Ovis aries: one gene and its partners. The protein of the gene in region 1 interacts with the protein of each later gene in a pairwise test. Links are inferred from orthologs where the notes say so. Each region holds a gene or a part of one and is shown in the gene's direction. Other genes may lie near its edges.

Evidence for each region.
Region 2: the proteins of RTN4 (region 1) and SYT16 interact in binary tests that used the Homo sapiens proteins (3 or more experiments, as listed by UniProt). The link is inferred for Ovis aries from reciprocal best matches to the Homo sapiens genes RTN4 and SYT16.
Region 3: the proteins of RTN4 (region 1) and RTN3 interact in binary tests that used the Homo sapiens proteins (3 or more experiments, as listed by UniProt). The link is inferred for Ovis aries from reciprocal best matches to the Homo sapiens genes RTN4 and RTN3.

The regions. Positions count from the first base shown.
Region 1 is NC_056056.1:68,962,278-68,968,918, forward strand, and holds the start of RTN4 (reticulon-4), read left to right. Parts: upstream 1-2,946; 5' UTR 2,947-3,156; coding exon 3,157-3,721; intron 3,722-6,641. UniProt on the Homo sapiens protein: Required to induce the formation and stabilization of endoplasmic reticulum (ER) tubules. They regulate membrane morphogenesis in the ER by promoting tubular ER production.
Region 2 is NC_056060.1:72,053,507-72,060,147, forward strand, and holds the start of SYT16 (synaptotagmin-16), read left to right. Parts: upstream 1-2,541; 5' UTR 2,542-2,688; intron 2,689-6,641. UniProt on the Homo sapiens protein: May be involved in the trafficking and exocytosis of secretory vesicles in non-neuronal tissues. Is Ca(2+)-independent.
Region 3 is NC_056074.1:38,528,318-38,534,858, forward strand, and holds part of RTN3 (reticulon-3), read left to right. Parts: 5' UTR 1-471; coding exon 472-2,743; intron 2,744-6,541. UniProt on the Homo sapiens protein: May be involved in membrane trafficking in the early secretory pathway. Inhibits BACE1 activity and amyloid precursor protein processing. May induce caspase-8 cascade and apoptosis.

The DNA.
Region 1 (6,641 bases):
AAGATTCTGATGCTGGGAGGGATTGGGGGCAGGAGAAGAAGGGGATGACTGAGGACGAGATGGCTGGATGGCATCACTGACTCGATGGACGTGAGTTTGAGTGAACTCCAGGATTTGGTGATGGACAGGGAGGCCTGGCATGCTGCAATTCACGGGGTCGCAAAGAGGCGGACACGACTGAGCGACTGAACTGAGCAACATTCTCCTTTCCTTATGCTTTGTTGACCATTCTATGAAAACTGGATAAATTCTTTATTTTTTCTTTCATCCATCAAATACTTAATGTTTTAGAAGTCACTGAGATAATAATATAAAATTCTTATTTTTCTTCTGCATCAGAAGTGAGTGCTTAATTATTGCCTCAATATTTAATGCTATTAACTATTAAAGTTGTAGATCTACCACTTTTCTGTAATGATTCTTTTATGACAATTTTAATAAACTAAAGATATTCCTTTGTGATTATTTTAGTAATAATCAGATACACAGATATATGAATGTAGAAATATCACATAAATAACTTACAGTTAATAAATGAAAACCCTGTGGAACTTTCCATTAAGGTGTTTCAGGACAATCACAGTAGGAAAAATAGTATTGGGGAGACTAAACTGATGGCTAAATTGTGATTTAATTGAAAACTTCACACCAAAGAATTTTGCCAGTGTATTTTTGTATGTGTATGGACTTAGCTGAAAAATCATGTATGTTTTTGACAATTTTTGACAAATATTTGACAAATACTTGAAATATGTTTAGTTATTATTGAGGAATCTGTTTTAAAATTTTTAGTTTGGCATTACATCTCCTGCCTCCAAATTCTATACTAATATTTCTCTCTTCCTACTCTTCCCAATTCTTCTAAAAACAAACAAACTCCAATCAACTCATAACAATTTTCTAAAAATAAAGCTAAAGTTCATCTCTGTGGGACTATTAAGCTAGGTCTTGAATGTACTGTTGATAACTAACTAATAACTAACCTGATCAGGTAACAATGCCAGGAAATCTAGTTTTACCTTTGCTTGTTTTTAAGAATTAAATCTTGTTTCCCATTGACAGAAAAGAGAGTTCTTATACACTCTCATGCCTACCTCCCAACCAATTTCCCCTATAACTAACATCCTGCATTAGGCTTGTGGTAGGCTTGTTACAACTGATGAACCAATATTGATTATATTACTCACTGAAGCCCACAGTTTACATTAGGATTCCCTCTTTGAACAGTTGTGAGTTTTGCCAAATGTATGTCATGTATCCATCATGACAGTGTCATACACAACAGTTTCACTACCCTAAAAATCTCCTGTGTTCCCCCTCTGTGTCCCTCCTCCGTCCCCCCAATCCTCGCTTTTCCTTTTTAATTACCCCAATTGAGGGTAGTATTAGTTGAAGCTAAGAATTTGCTTAAGTAATCCATGATTCTCCATGGCAATCAACATTTCTTAATCATCAATTTAGACTAGCACTGTCAAACAGAAATAAAATATAAGCCACATATATATTTAAAATTTTCTAGATGCAGTATTAAAAAGAACAAGTAAAACTAACACATTACACTTATCCCAATATATCCAAAATGTTATCAATTCCAGTATAACCACTATAAAAATTGAGATACTTAATTTTTTTTGTACTCTCAAAATATAGTATGCATTTCAATCTTACAGCACATCTCATTTCAAACGACTCATATTTCAAGTGCTCGGTAGCCAGGAGTAGCCAGTGACTAAGGACTTGAATAGTGCAGGCCTAGACTGAGAGCAACTTGAAAGCAAGCTATCCTCCTCTCTCCAGGGCCTCTAGAATAGACAGGAAGGGGATATTTTTGGAAGATATTCAGTACATCAGAAAGACAAAAAGGACTCTCTAAACCTCTGGATGCTGATACTTAAATGTTCTGCAGTCACTTTCTTTAAACTCTCCAGTTCTGGAAAAAGTGGAATGGGGATTATACTCATTTTGATATATCAAAGAAATGAGTATGTATGTATCCTGACTCCCAGAAAGCCTGAATCATCCAGAATGTTGACTCATGGGCCTAAGGTGACTGAAATACAATGTGAATCAAATTTGCCTTCCAAGGCATCCTTCTCTTTCCACTTTCCTCTCTCTCCTCCCTCTTTTGGGTGACTCATCCTTCTACCAGTTAAGTCCAGCAGCGTGCAGATCCCAAAGCCCTCTTTGAAGAAGTACAGACTCATCAAATGGTCTGTTCCAGTCAGTCCCTATATCGTCTAGCCTAGTTGTTTTGCCTACCTCATCCAGGGTCTGCAGTTAAGACTGGGAGTGACTTTAAACCTGTAAAAAATATTATTTTTTCTTTTAAGGTGGTGATGGTGATCCCCTTAAGGTGATAAGGTGGCTTGGGAATTTAAGTTTGAAAGAAAACAAATTTTCATTTCGAAATTTACAATTTAACGTTTGCTTCAATCCTTAGGGCCTACTCCACAGTACCGTTATTCATAACCTTCCTGCGCTCTGGGTTTTTTCCTTTCCTGGGAGGAAAGTTTCCACTCCCAGTCTCCAAGATAACGCCCTTCCGGTGGCGTGCCAGGAACGTCTCCGACCCCTCAGTGCTGGGAGGGAGTCGTTTCGTTTTCTCAGTGCTGTAAACACACAGACTCCAGCTTCGCCAGGGCCAAGACCAAGACCCCAGCCGGACCCGCAACTACCCTAGGCAGTCGGTGGGGTTCCCAGCTCCAAACCCCGCCCATCGAACCCACCCGAGCCGGTAAGAGAGAGGAAGTGCAGTGAGACCCACCCACTTTCGTCTTTTTCCTTTTCTGTTGGGCCGACTGGTTGCCCGTCAACTCTATTTCTTCGCCGATTGGCTCACTCCCTCCCGCGTTAGTGCCTCCCTCTCCCTGGCTGGGAGGGTGTCACGCCAAACTGGGCGGAGCGTCGGCTGGCCTCTCTCCTTCTCTCATCTGGGCGGCGGCGGCGGCAACTGGGGACGGGGCGGGTGGCGCATCACGGGCGCGGAGGCTGGAGGAGCAGTCTCATTGTTCCGGGAGCTGTCGCCACTGCAGGTCCCTCGGCTCGTTGGGCCCTGCCCCTCTCAGTCCTCCCCGCCCCCCACAACCGCCCGCGGCTCTGAGAAGAAGCTTCTCCGGCGGAGGCAGCAGCTGCAGCATCACCTCTGACCTGCCAGCCATGGAAGACATGGACCAGTCGCCTCTGGTCTCCTCGTCCTCGGACAGCCCGCCTCGGCCTCAGCCCGCATTCAAGTACCAGTTCGTAAAGGAGCCCGAGGACGAAGAGGAAGAGGAGGAGGAGGAAGACGAGGACGAGGACGAGGACCTGGAGGAGCTGGAGGTGCTAGAGAGGAAGCCCGCCGCCGCGCTGTCGGCGGCCCCGGTGGCCGCAGCCGCCGCCACCCCGGCTAGCGCGCCCCTGCTGGACTTCGGCAATGATTTCGTGCCCCCGGCGCCCAGGGGGCCACTGCCGGCCGCGCCTCTCGCCGCTCCGGAGCGGCAGCCGTCTTGGGACCCGAGCCCCGTGTCGTCGTCGGTGCCCGCGCCGTCCCCACCCTCCATTACAGCAGACTCGCACTCCAAGCTCTCTGAGGACGAGGGGCCTCCGGCCCGGCCTCCCCCTCCTCCACCGGCCGACGTGAGCCCTCAGGCCGAGCCCTCGTGGACCCCGGCTGCCCCAGCCCCCGCCGCGCCCCCCTCCACGCCGGCCGCGCCCAAACGCAGGGGCTCCTCGGGCTCAGTGGGTGAGTGCCGCGCCCTCCGCCTCGCGCCGCCCCTCGCGCCCCTCCCTCTTTTGTGCGCAGCCCCTAAAGCCTGGACCCTGCCCTTCTGTCCATCCGGAGGGGGCTTTGTCTGCAGATCTTTGGGCGAAGGCGCCCCCGCTGGTGGGAGCCGCGGGGAGCAGGGTGGGGCGGCAGAGGAAGCTCCGGCTTACTCTTTATTGTCCGTCTGGGTATCGGGGAGCACGTGCGCCCCGACCGCTCCCGGGTTGTTCTGTCTGCTCTCCATTCCACCGGGTCGGGGAAGTTAGGAACCCACCCCTTGCAGGAACTGGGTCTGTAATGAGGGAACTAGGGGTGTGGATTCATCGGGCTGCCTTGGTTCCGGGATGAGGATGGAAGGCCTTGGCGCCCTAATCTTTTGTCTGCCCAACTAGGTTGCTCCTGAGGAAAAGACGCAGTTTCTTGCTGGTCTTTGCCTGCATTCAGCCCTGGCCCCTCTCCTCACCCCTTCCTTGGCTTGGGTGGCCCCATGCTCTTCATCTCCCCCGCCCCGGCCCCGCGCTCGTGGGGAGCCGGTCCAGTGGAAAACGTCCACATTGACCTGACTGCAGTGAAGGGACAGCGCCTCCAGTGGTGTGACGCGTGGAGAATTGCGGAGCGGAGTTTCGGCGAGGTCCTGCCACCGCCCAGTTTACCCGGGTTGTGATGTGGCTATTTACCACCAGCTTAACGGCGCCGGGGAAATGGGACCTGGGCACCGTGTTCCAAGGGGGCGCAGTTCTGCCGGGAGCTCTGCCGCAGAAGGAGGGGAACAGTTGTTAGGATGCACAGGTTTAGTCTCAATGCATCGTAATTGAATCGTAGAGATAAAAGGAAAAGGCAAAATGGTTGACATTCCCAAAGAAGGGGAAACCTGTGGATTCCCTGGCGGGAAGAGGACAGTTGAACTTCTGGCAGATTTACCATGGGACTTCATGAAATGTTTTCAGACAGACGTTTTCATCTGTTGGTTAGAAATACTGTTTCGTAGAAGTAATATATTTTAGGGCTGCAGAGACAGATTTGCATTGTCCGTAAATAGTTTTCAAATCTTTTCATTTACCAGCACCTGATTGTTATTACTGTTATTAGGAAAAATTGTTTTATTATCCTTTTCATTTTGGGAGATTGTTTATTTTGGAAGAGAAAAAAGTTTGTTAGAGGTTGAGAATTCATCCTATTAGACACGTTAATTAACTTATTAACAAGTAGCTTGTTAGTTTGGGGACAGAAAGCGTCGCACTAGAAGTAGGACCTTTATGTGTAAATAGGCAAGGATCAAGAATCAGGTAGTGTAACAGTCTGGTGAGAAATTGTCATAGCCTTGTAGGATTTTAGAGCCGGTTGTTTTTCTAGAAAAAGATACTCAGTGGGAGATCATGGAAGAATTTTCTTTTCTTCGGCTCACTCCTGCACCACAAGGAAGAAAAATAAGTCAATAGTGATATCGACATACCCCACAGCATTACTCAAAACATTAATTACTACACTACAGATAATTAGAATGTGAGAAGTAACTCAAGTTTTCCTTTTTATGAGTGAAAACACATTTCGAGAAACTAAAGTAAGGTGGAAAAATATCAAGTAATAAGACATTTACAAATGATAAATTTAATGATTAAGAAAAGCAAACTGATTTTTCATATTGTATTCCTGTGTGGCAACAAAAGAGTTCTGTGCTTTGAACCTTGGAGAGTCAGGAGGTGACAGCATTCTTTCTGTATTTTGACTTTAGGAATACTAACTTTGGAAGACAAAGGAGAGAATGTTGAGTCACTTAGCGATTCTATCTTTACATGGCTCCCTAATTCTGTATTGATGTTGCCTATCTAGAAATTTTAGTTCCTTTAGGACATAAAGGAACACTGTGATTATGGTCAGATAGTTAAACCATGTCACTGAGTCTGGCTTTCTTAACAGTTCTTTCCTGCAGCTGGTTATTGATTTACCTACAGAGGCACTATTCTAGGCTAGGAAAATAGAGCAGTCAGCAAGACAGATGTGTTCCCCATGAGAGGAGTACCGATAATAAACACCTGATTAAGGAACTGAGACTAGTGTTAAGTGTTATGAGCAGCATAGGAAGGATGATGTGGAAAATTATTGAGATGTGTGGGAACCTTTTTACATAGGGTGGCACTGAGAAAGGCCTTTCTGAGGAGGTGAGATTTAAGCTGCAGATATAAAAAATTTCCAAGAAGCTCCTGGGAGGCAAAAGCCCTGCGGCAGTAATGTATGTTTGAGAAGCTCGTGAGAAGACTAGTAAGAAAGCTAAGGAGAGAGTGGGGTGGTAGACTATACTTAGGTCATTTGAGGTCTCTAATAGGCCATGGTAAACATTTTCGCTTTTTGAAAGATTGTTTATTTTAGAAATGTGCTCCTTAATTATATTGGGGTTTTGGAGCAGAAATACAGTTTTGAAGATTGAGAGAAACTAAAAGGATGGACGTGAGTAAAGACAAAGAGGTGGGAAATGTGCAGAGCATAGTTAGAAACATAGATCAGTCTGACTGGAGGACAGTTTATGTTACTGCATATGGTAGATCCCTGACACTTGTGTATTTCGTATTGTTGTTTAACCTCTTCTTGAGTAAGTGCTGATTTCCCTTATTTGAGAAATTGTGATTTTGCTGTTTGCTGTTATATCAGTGCTTGGAGCATCGCCATGCTGAAAGACTGAAGTCTTTCCCCTGCTGAGTGTTTTTCATGGAGAAACATTGGCTTCAGGTTAAAATGATGGTTGTTTAACGTAGGCTTTGAGAACATGCAAGGGAAACCAGATAGAAATTTGAGTTGAGAGATGCAGACCATTCATTAAGGATGGAGTTGAGCTGATCTCTGGACATATTCTTTAAACCAGTAAAATGTGTGGTAGATCTGGATTCTGAAACGTGTCGGATGC
Region 2 (6,641 bases), on another chromosome or scaffold:
TGGCCCCCTTTTGATTTTCTTATGTATTGTGAAATTTTAGACATGTTTAATGATGAGTTATCAGTGTTACAAGTAAAGTAGAATACATTCTGCCTTCAGAAAGGACATTGATGAATGATCAGAAAAATACGGTGGACAGTTTTGGGTATAAAAGCTGCTGAAGTGGTGTATGAGCTCTAAGGAGGATGGTGGATATGAACTCGACTTGCGTTACATGTTGCAAGATGTTTTTGTTGATATTGGAAAGAAACAAGCCTTCCATTTTTAAAGACATTGCTGTTTATTTATTTATTTATTTTAAACTCTATCAAGTACATCAGTGAAAAGTGAGATAATACATATATATTTTACATCTGAGTGAGATACATACAGAGAATATTTCTTCTTTGTATCCCTATACCTTTGTTACTATGGGATTTACTGTGCTTCCAGGATGTGTCTTTATATTTTAATATACATTTGAAAAAAATTAAAGGCCACTTAAGTGAGAATCTTGGAAATGGTAAAACAGTAGAGATTTCTAATACCATTTAATATGTAGGTTCCAAACTGAAAGCCTGAGTGGCCTTTGCATTAAATGGGCTAGTTTTATAGAATGAATATTTTCAGAACCACTGAAGCAAGATCTAATGTATTTCATATGTTCTAACACTTGGCACATGGAAATTTTTTCATTTGGTGTGGGTCATGAACCAAATGATGAGATGTATTGTCACTTTAAGTCTTTTTACTCTAAATATAAAATTAAAAGGAGAGGTAACGGAATTGAGCTCTAGAAAACGAAGAGAAAATGTATTGGTTTTTTTTTTTTTTGGCCTGGGATAGTTTTATTTGGTGACTTAGGAGGAGTTCCTAGGTCCCTGTCAGCCTTACTATCCCAAGTAGGGTTGTGGACCCACAGCATGGGCTTCATTGGGAGCTTAGGAGGCCTGTGGAGTCTCTGAGCTATTGAATCAGTGTTCATTTAAACACAACCCCCATGAGGTCCATAAGCACAGTAAAGTTTAAGAGGCACTTCTCGAAACTGATGAGGTCTGCCAGCATGTCACAATGTCTGAGTTAGCCTTCTTGATTCCTTGGGGAATACTTTTTTAAGAAGGTGGTTGTGTCAGCCTGCACCTTCCTCCTATGATTTATATCTTTCTACTTTCAATTACTTTCCTAGTTGAAAATGAGAAAATCAGGAAGTTATCAGAGGTTAGAGAAATGTCTGTGAATTGAGTATGCATGAAATAGACTTAGGAACTGGGTAAGAACTGGAAAATTTTGAAGGATAACAATTCCAAGCAGATTATTGGTATCCACATGGTTAAACCATTGGAAAAAAAAACTCTTCAACTTAAGGTCCTTGCTTGTAGCAATTAACCAGAATGCTGGTTTGAAAGGGTGTTGCCTGGTTCACAGGGTCTCTGGGTGGGCTGGGGATTCAGCCTGCGGAGCTAGTCTGGTGGACACTCCTCTTACTGCACAGTGTTAGAGGCTTCAGCTTGCACCCCAGATGCCCTTGGTACTGAACACTGCATGCCCATATCAGCCCTGCTGCTGCAGCCATGCCTGCATGCAAGGGCATCTGCTGCTGCAGGGACTCGTATTTCTTGTAGCATCTCTGTGCCCGGAGGGAGCTCTGGTGAGCTCTGTACTTTGGGGCTTGTCTGATTGATTGACCAATGCAAGGAAGCTGGGAAAGCAAGTCTTCGGCATGTTCACTCTCATTGTGGGAGAGCACTGCCTCCTTAGGCTGGGAATTCTCCATCCATAGGAAGGGGGTTAGGATGCAGGTGGACAAAAAGAACAATAAATGTTGGAGAGAGTTGCCTGGGTGTCTGAGTGTGTGTGTGTACACACACGTGTGTATGAATGTGTGTGTTCAGTATCCTAGAGACATTTATTTCAATAGGACATCTCTTTGACTTTATGATGAAGCTCAATCATAGGAAAGTAGGATTGATTTTTACAAAATTTTGCTTTTTTGTTGGAAGGGCTGACACACACATTTCAAAAGTACCAATCCTTCTTTTCGGTCATATTTAGCCAGGAGAAAACTTGATGTTTCTGTGAGATTAAAAAATTTCCTGACACTAACTCTGAAATAGGGAGTTCATTGCCTTCATTTTTGGAATGATGTTCTCATTTAGTGAAATCCTGACCCATATAATCAAGATAACAAGGAATTTTTAATTTGCACGAATGACTCAGTTGTGGAGTACACACTTTGACTTGTGTTCTTCTGGGAGGTTGAGAAATTAACACTTGCTTGGTGTACATGAGACACGAAGCTGAAACCAAAATCAACTTGCACTGTGTCATATTTGTACTGAGATAACACAGAGGAACAGCTGTGACTCTTTCAAATGACTCCATTTGTTTGATAATTGCTGGGTAAAAATAGTGCCACTATTGGCTATTTCAGGATGACAGATGGCGTTCTAGATCGTGTTCCTTTCCTCATACCCCAAAAGAACAGGGCTGGGTCTCGCGGAGAATTTTTGTCTGTGTGTGAGATAGCATCAGGGAAGGGCCAGGACACCATTTCAAGTTTCTGTTCTGCAGATAGGTAGGGAGCAGGGAGGGTGATGTAAGGGAAACAGGGAACTGAATTTTTCCAGCCTGAGCAATGACAGGAAATAAAGGCATCGGTTGCTTAGGAGCAGAAGTATCTTGTGCCTTTGCTACCGCTGGAGGAACCAGGTAATTTGCTTTCAGAGCTCACCCATCTCCTGTTCAAACAGAGCTGACATGAGCCCTCTTTTTATCTTGGCTTTGCAGAGTAGAGGGAGGGTGGTCATTAGACCCCTAGCTTTCTTGCACTCAGCAAACTTCTCTGCTGTTTCTAATGTATCGTCTCAAAACTGTGCCAATCAAAAGTCTGTTAATTGGGGGTAAAACAGATTTCCTTCAGGAGCTGGCCCTTGGGTATTTTTCTCAATCAGAAAGCAAATGGAGCCCCACGTGAGTGGAGTAGAGAATGGTCTTTCACCCGAGTGGCAGGCAATGTTTGATATCTTATCGGTGTCCTCACTCTTACCTCAAGGAGGGAAGGTTGTCACATATGCACCCTCACTTTTCAGTCTGAAGTCAAGGAGGGAGGCAGGAACATTGATCTTTTGTGAAGTCTGAGGGCCCACGTCCTGGTACTGAGAAGGTCAGACAAAGATTTACAGCCTTACCTGTGTATGTGAATCTCTTTTGGAGATTTTATAACATAAATTTACCTGAGACCTACTTCCCAAATTTTGATTCACTGGGTCTTTGGTACAGCTCAGGCCCCTGTAGGTATAAAAGTTTCCCAGGTAATCAGAGCTTAAAAGTCAGTCCCATTTTCTCCCTACTCAGCTCCTGCTGAAGAGTGTTAGGTGCCTAGAACAGGCCGGTGACAGGAAGTCCTGGGTATGAAGTTCCTGGGCTTCCTCGTTCTTGTCCAGAGCTGCATGCTTGCCCTGGGTCCTTCTCTCTAGGAAGCTCTGTGGACACTTACATGGCGCCTGCAAGGGTGAGTTCCTTGTTCTTCCATAGTTTAAATGGAAACAGTTACTCTCATAGGAGCACTCAGAGGGAAAATTGAGACTTGTGGTTGGGTAGAAAAACAGTGGAAATATTTAGGCAGTGAGTAGGCTATAGGAAAGTCTTCCCAGATGACACAGCGGTAAAGAATCTGCCTGCCAATTTAGGAGATGCGGGTTCCATCTCTGGGTTGGGAAGATCCCCTGGAAAAGGAAATGGCAATCCACTCCAGTATTTTTGCCTGGGAAATCCCATGGACAGAGGAGCCTGGCCAGCTACAGTTTTCCAATGGAGTCACACAGGAGTCAGCCATAACTTAGTGACTAAACCAACAACAAGGCTATAGGAAACGGGTTAGAAGAGCTCTGATCCCCAGTGTTTCTGACCTGCAGGAGTGGTAAGAACAGAACCTCTGGGCATGTAGGCATACGTCATAAACATATCATGTCTGAGAAAGGCCCTGGAGGGAGTGAACACCTCTTAATTCTACTCACCCTTCTCTAAGGGTTCAAGGAAAATTGAGTAGTTTAACTAAGAGTATTTTAGTTGTAGCAGCAAATAATTTTAAAGGCGAATGAGATCTGGTTCCCATTTGCCTCTTTTTTTTTGTCCTCAGAAGAAGTCAATGATTATTGTTACATTGAAAATGAACATTATTAGAGATTATATAATCTTAAAACATCTTCAGTCTGATAATAAAAGAAGTGTTGACCATTTCTCCTAGAAAGCCGCAAGCCTAAGGCAGTTATTTCTTGGCACTTTTTTGCTCAGTTATGTAAATGGCCCTTTGTGGGAACACCAGAGTTGATCCAGAAATCTCGTTTTAAAGAGAGCTATCACATGCAGGAGAGGGAGCTCCGTGGGCAGTTCTGATCTGCATGATCCCAGAGTGCTGGTGTGGGGCTAAAAACAGCATGGGGCTGTCCTCGGCCATGAAATCAGTCTCAACAGCTTCATAGTCACACTGGAAATAGACTTGCATCTCCCCTACTGCTCGCCAAATCCTAAGGATGTGGATTTGAGAAAGAAGAAAAGAAATTTCAACCCAACTCACAGTGAAACCTGTGGAAGTAATTTGGAATTTCCTATTCTTTTCTTTGGCCCTCTGCTGACTCCCTTTGTATGAGTGCAGAATCCAGCATGAACCTGGGATGTGGGCTAAGAAGAGACCAAGAGGACATTTCAGAGGTTTTTTAGCCACCCTGTCATGCAAGGCACAGAGCTCCTGAATGGGCAGGGCTTGCCCTGAAGTCAAGGAGTTGTAGGGGATTTCTCTAGAAGCTGTGTGTATCTAGCAGTCATACTTTGTAATGCTTACTTAGGATGCGGGGCTTCCCAGGTGACACCAGTGGTAAAGAACCCACTTGCCAATGCAGGAGACGAAAGAGATGCGGGTTCGATCCTTGGGTCAGGAAGAGGAGGAGGGTATGGCAACCCACTCCAGTATTCTGGCCTGGAGAATCCCATGGACAGAGGAGCCTGGCGGGCTACAGTTGCAGAGTTGGAAGTGACTGAAGTGACTCAGTGGGCATGCATGCAGGAGGATGAGATTGTTGGCTTACAACCCCCAGACCGCCCCTCAGTGCTACTGCTGCAGAGCTGGGCCCTCTGCCCAGGCCTCCTGCTGGTACTTTGGTTTCTCCCAATAGACCTGTAATGAAGAGGTCAGCCATAACCCCCTCCCTGCCAGAACCCCACCATAACAGCTACCAATGTTCACCCAGAGCAGATACTTAGTAACTTTGTTTTTCAATAGTTTCCTAGTTGGCTCCCATAATGATATAAAAATAAAAATAGAAGTGTGTCTTTTCTTGCCTCTCCTACTTGACCTCCAAGTTAATCAAGTGACAGAGAGATTGCAACTGCCAAGAAGTCAAGGTTCCCTTTGATTAGTATATCGCAGATGCTTGTCACCTCTTCTCCTCTGGGCTTGTGGGAAATAATGAGAGTTTAGGGTGTGTTCTCCCTCACCACTTTTGGGAGGTCACTTCACCTCTCTGGACCTCAGTACTGAAACTTTATGATCCATGATTTTGTGACTTAAATAATAGTTATTTCCAGATCCTGCATTCCCATGGCCCCTTGACCTTTATTATTAATATCACCAAGGAACAGCAATATCACTAACATCTTGGTTTTAAGGAACCTGCTTTTTGACACCCATCCTATCCTCCCAGCTCACCCTCTCTTGTCCTATTACCTTGCAGACTTCAATCCATTGGCTAATCACGTTTTCATTGTCTGCCATCCTCCTTTTTATATTCTTTTTTTTTAAAAACCTAGTTTAGATTATACAATCTGTCATTTTTATTAAGCAGCCACATGTTGCAAGAGGAAAATGCATAGTTATGCTCATTTATAAATTCATGACATAACTCTGGAATTAACCCTGGCAATCCTGTTTCACTTGCTTAGTATATTCATTCTACGCTCCAGAAATTAGATTTTCATTTCTCACCCCCAGCTCCCGAGGTTTCTTTCCCATTTACCTTCAGCTGATGACTTTGCCTCAAAATTTATTGAGGAAATAAAAGTAAAAGGTGGGCCAGATACCCGTCATCAAGTCTCACAACCCTCTTATATCTTGATCCATATTCCCTTTCCCACTTGTGTCTGCAGAGGAAGTGTCTTTATCCCCTTGAAAGGCCTTTTCTACCTGTTCTCTTCCAACTGCCTCACATATGGACCGAGTCTGCACCCTCACTAGCTCATTTCGGTAATAGTTTCCTTTTGTCGGCCTGACATAATTGTGAATCAGAAGTTCCCTGTGTGGGGCTTCTCTAGCGGCTCAGGGTTTAAAAGTCCACCTGCTAATGCAAAAGATGCGGGTTCGATCCCTGGTTTGGGAAGATCCCCTGGAGAAGGACATGGCAACCCACTCCAGTATTCTTGACTGGGGAATCCCATGGACAGAGGAGCCTGGTGGGCTACAGTCCATGGGATTGCAAGGGTCAGACACAACTTGGTAACTGAACAGCAACAACAAAAGTTCCCTGTATAGTGTTCCAGTTTGGATGATAAATTATATGGGCCCCTTAGTTATATGACAGTTTCATATAGCAGATGATCTTCAGATTAGCTTTTACGTCGCCCTCATATTGTCCTGTTACTTTACAAGTAGTTACCTAGATTTATAGTAA
Region 3 (6,541 bases), on another chromosome or scaffold:
GCTTCATAATATGTTTGTTTTATATGGATTACATTGTTTCTGCTGAATAGCTCTACTAAATACCAAAGGAAAAGGAATAAACACTTCCCCAGATTATCCAGTCTGTATTATAACCTTCTTCATGCTTTACCATTAAAGGGAAAATGTAGATTGATAAGTATTTTGTCATGAAAATTTTTTGTCATTTGCAGTTTGTAGCATGATAAGCCTTTTCTGTTTCACTGCTGGCAATTTTATGCATGTCTATAGGATAACTGTTGATCATTGTTTTTGTTACATATTTATGTGTGTGTATGTATATATACATCCTGTGTGTGTATATATACATATGTGAATTTAAAAATAAAAAGCATGCTGCTTGGCCTGACTAGCTAATGTGTAATTGTACCTGGTAAACAATTGTTTTTCTTTCAAATTCTGGCCGTAGAGGGATTGAGCTCTCTTTGCTCTGATGAGCCACCTTCAGAAATCATGACTGCCTCCTCTTGTTCATCTTCTGAAATATGTAACACTGACCTTACAATACTGCATGGAATAAAAAGCAAAATGTTAGGCAGCCAGATTCTTTTAGCCCAAGAAGAAAAAGACTGCTTGGCTCTTCTAGATGGGAAAAAGATGGGAAAGCCTCTGGGGACCAGTAAAGACACAGAAGACTCCCCAGTTTCTGCTGCAGAAGGAGTTCACTGTGACCGTCCTTCCATTCCACTGAGCTTCCTGGGTCATCCTGCTTTTCTCTCAAAGGAAGTTGGTCAAATGGAACCACAGATAAATAAAGATCAAGAGTCCAGGAGCCCAAATGAGGAACCAAATAAGGATGATATAACTGCCTTGGATGCAGATGACAAGTTCACTGTGCTGACAGCCCAGAAGCCAGCCACCCAGCAGCCTAAAGCAGAAGGCATTTGTCCGTATTCCTTGTCTCCTTCTGAAGCTTCAGGAGGTGGTGTTATGGAAAAGGATTCCCCTGAATCACCATTTGAAGTAATTATTGACAAAGCAGCATTTGACAAAGAATTTAAAGACTTATATAAGGAAAGCATAAATGATTTTGGTAGCTGGGCAGTGCATACTAGTAGAGAATCACCTGCAGACATTTCAGAGTCTAATGACAAAGTATTTCCACTGAGAAAGAAAGAAGCAGGGCGTTACCCAGCCTCTGCATTGCTCACCAGGCAGTTTTCACACACAGCTGCAGCATTGGAGGAGGTATCTAGATGTGTGAATGATATGCATAGCTTTACTAATGAAGTACTGACTTGGGATTTGGTTCCCCAAGTGAAACAGCAGCGTGATAAAGCTGAGTACGACACAAAAACTACAGGACTTGGCACAAGTGAATATAATTCAGAAATTCCTGTTGTAAATCTTAAAACAAACACTCAGAAAATTCCTGTATGTTCTATTAATGGAAGCACTGCTGACACTAAATCACCAGGTGACTGGGCGGAAACACCTCTCCCACAGGAAAACGCCGTGCCAGACCATTTTGATTCCACACAGGAAGTCACTATCAAAGGTGTGCAAGACAGCGTGCAGAAAAGAGACGACACACTTTCAGAGTCACCTGGCTCTCCACTGCAGAAATGTGTCTCTCTTGGTTCTGGAGTGGCCACAGATAAAGTAGTTTTACCCGACAGCCACCTGAAAGGTGGAATGAGCTGGCAGACCTCTGTGTTGGGAGAAGTGACAGAGGCTGATAGTTCTGGTGAATCTGATGACACAGTAATAGAAGACCTCACAGCAGATAATTCATTTGAGAGCAACAAAATTCAGGCTGAAAAACCTGTTTCCATCCCAAGTCCTGTTATAAAAACAGATGGAGAAGTCAAAGAGATCCTCAGTTGTAACAAGAAAGACAGAACATCTGAAAAATTTGAAGGGTCGGTCAGTGACTCTGAGCCACGACAAGTTCGGCCTGATCCTCTTGAAAGGAGCCCAGGTGAAGCAGTGTGTTCACTAGTATCTAATAAGAATGGCACGCCAGAAGTGAAGCAGTCAGGTAGTAAGCATGAAGCTGTTCCTGAAAAGCCTGTTGCAGCTGAGAACCCAAAACTCCCTTCAGAAGCAGCTCCTACAGAACTCACACAAAGTGGGACAAGCTCTGCCTATTTGGAGTCATTGCATGAAAAAAATATGAAAGATCCAGATGATTCTTCCCCAGAGGACCTGATGGCGGCCTTTACAGAAACCAGAGAGAAAGGAATAGTAGGTATAGGTGAAGGCAATACCTTTGAAGCAACATCAGAGGAGACTAAGGACTTTAAAACAATTCTTCCTCTAGATGTTTTGCATGGGAATAAGTCAGGTGGTTCTGAAATTAAAAACAAAGAAAGCAAATACAGTGAACAAAGCAAAGAAATAAATGGGAGTAAGCTTCTGGAAGTTTTCCCTACCCAAGGTACTCCAATAGCATCTCTCGACTTAGAACAAGAACAGCTCACAATCAAAGCACTTAAAGAACTGAGTGAAAGGAAGGTGGAGAAGTCAGCTTCTGTACAGGATAAAGGAGACTCTCCTGAAGAAATATTCAAACAGACTTTAACAAATGTTAAAGAATCTTCCTGGCCACAGAGATCAGCTGATGTCCTAGAACACAAAGATGTCGAGACTGGATCTGATCTTGAGATTTCCAGGAAGCCCACTGTTATCAAGGAAACTACTAGGGTAGAGGCTATTTCCAGCCTTAGCAAGACTGAGCCGGTAAACGAGCCTGTCCTAACAAGACTTCTGACAGACGTGTCAGGTAACCACTTACGTTAGAAATACTGCATGTGGGGAAAAAAAGAAATATTGCATGTGGTTAATTCAGCTATGATTGATTATTTAGAGGGCCATTTTTCTTAGTCTCTGATTTATATCACTAAATTATAGCTAGAATAAAATATACTATATAATGGGGAAAGGTAGATTTTTTTTTTTAATGGTTGTTTGATTTGGTTTTCTTATACAAATGTTTCCCAAAGCAGGAGACTACTTGTTAAAATTAATATTCTCCTAAAGGAAAAAAATGTCATGGTCCAGTTTTTTCATTATACGTTGACTGTAGGGGAGATTGCTGCTTTTAAGACTATCACTAGGCTCTTATTTGCACAGATTAATATAAAATCTCCGTAATAGTAGCACTGCTTAGCCCTTAGGTATTTTGCTTAGCCCTTGTAAAATCTATTTAGCAATCAAAGAGAAAGGAATTCCTGCTGGGAAGATAATAAATGAAACTTTTAATTAATTTGATCTTATACCACAGAGATTTTATGCTCTGAAAGTAGGTAACCAGTACTGTAGTGCAGTCGTGCCAGTGATGCTTTAGGAGAACTCGTGCATTGTTCTACTTTGGACCTTGTTGACATTCTTCAGGTCAAAACTCTTTGCATGGTACTAGAAGCCCTTCTGCTTGTCTTCTGCTTATTTGAGTGATTACTTTCCTAGCTGTTGACCGTCATTTAAATTACTTCAGATGCTCTCTGTTCTGGTGTCTTAGTGTAATGAAAAAAAGATCTATAAAGCCTCCAGAATCAAGCCCCAACCTCTAATCTGATATGAGGTTCTGCACTTGGTGTATGATCAGTGTGGTCAGAGTTAGGTGCTATGCAGGGCCCTGTGGTTTTCCAAACTTCTTAACCAATAGATTCCTCTTTCAAATGAAATCAGACACAGAGTTATAATATTTAAAAGAAAATGAGATTTTTGTTAAGAGAAACTTTTTAAATGAGGTTGTACCATATTTTTTTCCCCTGTAAAGGTTTTATTATGCACAGAATAAGAAAGGGGCTCAGTCCTTTGCAGCCACTTCCCTCCGGTCACTTCTTCCAGCCAGGGTACCACTAACTTGCTTGCTTGGTTAGGTTACCTGCTGGGATCTGTGGGTCACCTGGAAGTCCACAGCCATAGGCTGCTGCAGAACCATGACTGCTGCCCATCATAGCCTGCGGCAGAAAGGCACCATTTACTTCTTATTTTATAAAGGTATTTCCTTACCAAAGACCATGGACAGGTTATTTAACCTTACTAAATCTTAATCCTTAAAATAGAGATAATAATGGTACTTACTTTATAATAATGTGAAGATTAAAAGTGTAAATGCAGGTTATAAAGGGCCTAAGTTTATTCAGTTCAGTCACTCAGTCGTGTCCACCTCTTTGCAACCCCATGGACTACAGCACGCCAGGCTTCCCTGTTCATCACCAGCTCCTTGATTCATCAAACTCATCTATCAAGTTGGTGATGCCATCCAGCCATCTCATCCTGTCATCCCCTTCTCCTGCCTTCATTCTTTCCCAGCATCAGGGTCTTATCTAATGAGTCAGTTCTTCGCATCAGGTGGCCACAGTATTGGAGCTTCAGCTTCAGCATCAGTCCTCATGAATATTCAGGATGAATTTCCTTTAGGATTGACTGGTTTGATCTCCTTGCAGTCTAAGGAACTTTCTAGAGTCTTCTTCAACACTGCAGTTGAAAAGCATCAAATTCTTCAGTGCTCAGCTTTCTTTAGAGGGCCTGCTGCTGCTGCTATGTCGCTTCAGTCGTGTCCGACTCTGCGACCCCGTAGGCGGCAGCCCACCAGGCTCTCCTGTCCCTGGGATTCTCCAGGCAAAAACACTGGAGTGGGTTGCCATTTCCTTCTCCAGTGCATGAAAGTGAAAAGTGAAAGTGAAGTCGCTCAGTTGTGTCCAACTCTTAGCAACCCCATGGACTGCAGCCTACCAGGCTCCTCTGCCCATGGGATTTTCCAGGCAAGAGTACTGGAGTGGGGTGCCATTGCCTTGGGCCCAGTATATAGTAAATATTCATTTAGCAGCAAGTACAGGACCTGGCATATAGTAGGTCCTGGATCATTATTTGTTACTGAATGCATTGTTATTAATTATCTGTGAAAACACTGAGGCTTTTTTATAAACTCAAAAGTGTGAAATGGCAGTTAAGGATAGCTGTTATACTCTAGAAGTTGAAGATAGTTGAACTTGGATTAAAGAGACCTGAATCCATATTGTTGCTTTACACTGTCTAGAAATGTGACTTTAAACAATTAAGTTATATCACCTTTTGGGGCTTTAGTTTCCTTATCTATAAAGTGAGGATGTTGAAGTAGGTGATCGTCAATACCGTTTCTCTGACCCTGGTAAATACTAGTTTTCTTCATGACTTCTTGTCAAAATTCTTAAACATAGGTTTTTGAGGTGATGAGGTGTATAGAAATTAGGTGGTAACAATCCAGTGTCTAATTCTGGCAAATTCCTGCTTTAATGTGACCTTTGACAATTAGCCAAATTGGTTTGGCATCTTGCTTTGTTAATATTGTGGTATTTTGCCCTTCTTCATAGTGAAGAAGAAAATGGCAACCCACTCCAGTACTCTTGCCTGGAAACTCCCATGGACGGAGGAGCCTGGTGGGCTGCAGTCCATGGGATCAGGACTGATCGACTTCACTTTCACTTTTCTCTTTCATGCATTGGAGAAGGAAATGGCAACCCACTCCAGTGTTTTTGCCTGGAGAATCCCAGCGACGGGGAAGCCTGGTGGGCTGCTGTCTATGGGGTCGCACAGGGTCGGACACGACTGAAGCGACTTAGCGGCAGCGGCAGCATGGTGTTACTTTTTGCAACCCCATGGACTGTAGCCTAACCAGGTTCTCCGTCCGTGGCGTTTTCCAGGCAAGAATACTGGAGTGGGTTGCCATTCCCTTCTCCAGGAGATCTTCCCGACCCAGAGATTGAACCCAGGTCTCCTGCACTGTAGGCAGATGCTTTACCGTCTGAGCCACCAAGGAAGATCCTGTAGTAAATAAAGTACTACGTAAAGGCTAATTATTAGTAAATCTCAACTGAGTTATTTAATCTAGTGTGAGAGATGAAAAGGACTATGGAAGTTTAAGTCATTTTGTCACTGACCAAATTCTATGATTAATAGACATTTTTAGATGATAATGAAAACTAGTATAATTAGACCAAGAAGCTAAAAGTTCTTCCTTTGAAGGTTTCAGAATTAAAAACCTTTTAAAATTGTCTTATATCATGAATAAATCTTTTAAGATGTAAATTTTACTAATATATACCAGCATCTAGCTCTAAGCAGTGTATCTGAGCAGTCTTCATTTCTAAAGTAAAACCAATTCTGTAATTATATTCTGCCTAAAGTTGTTGGGGAAAATAGGCAAAGGAAGCTATGAAAAAATTAATGGTATTTTATTTTTCTTTTGCTATTCTGTGGTATATATGACAGTATATAACAGACCTGGAAATGACCTAGCAATTTTGTTTCTAGTTACGTATTCTAAGGGGAAAAGAAATTTATGTGCAAAAGCAACTATAGAGATATTCTTTGTAGTGGCGGGTATCTTAGTGCCTTAACAATTAAAGATTGTTGGAGTGTGTAACATATCTGTACCGTTAAGTGTTATATAGCCTTTGGAGTAGTTATAGGTTGATGTGAAGTACAAAAAGAAATACACTTGTATTTCTGTATATTAGAATTAACTTCTATTGTTAATTAATATTTGCTTTCGAACTAAAGGACCCTTTGATTACCATCTGACCCATTTCCCCAG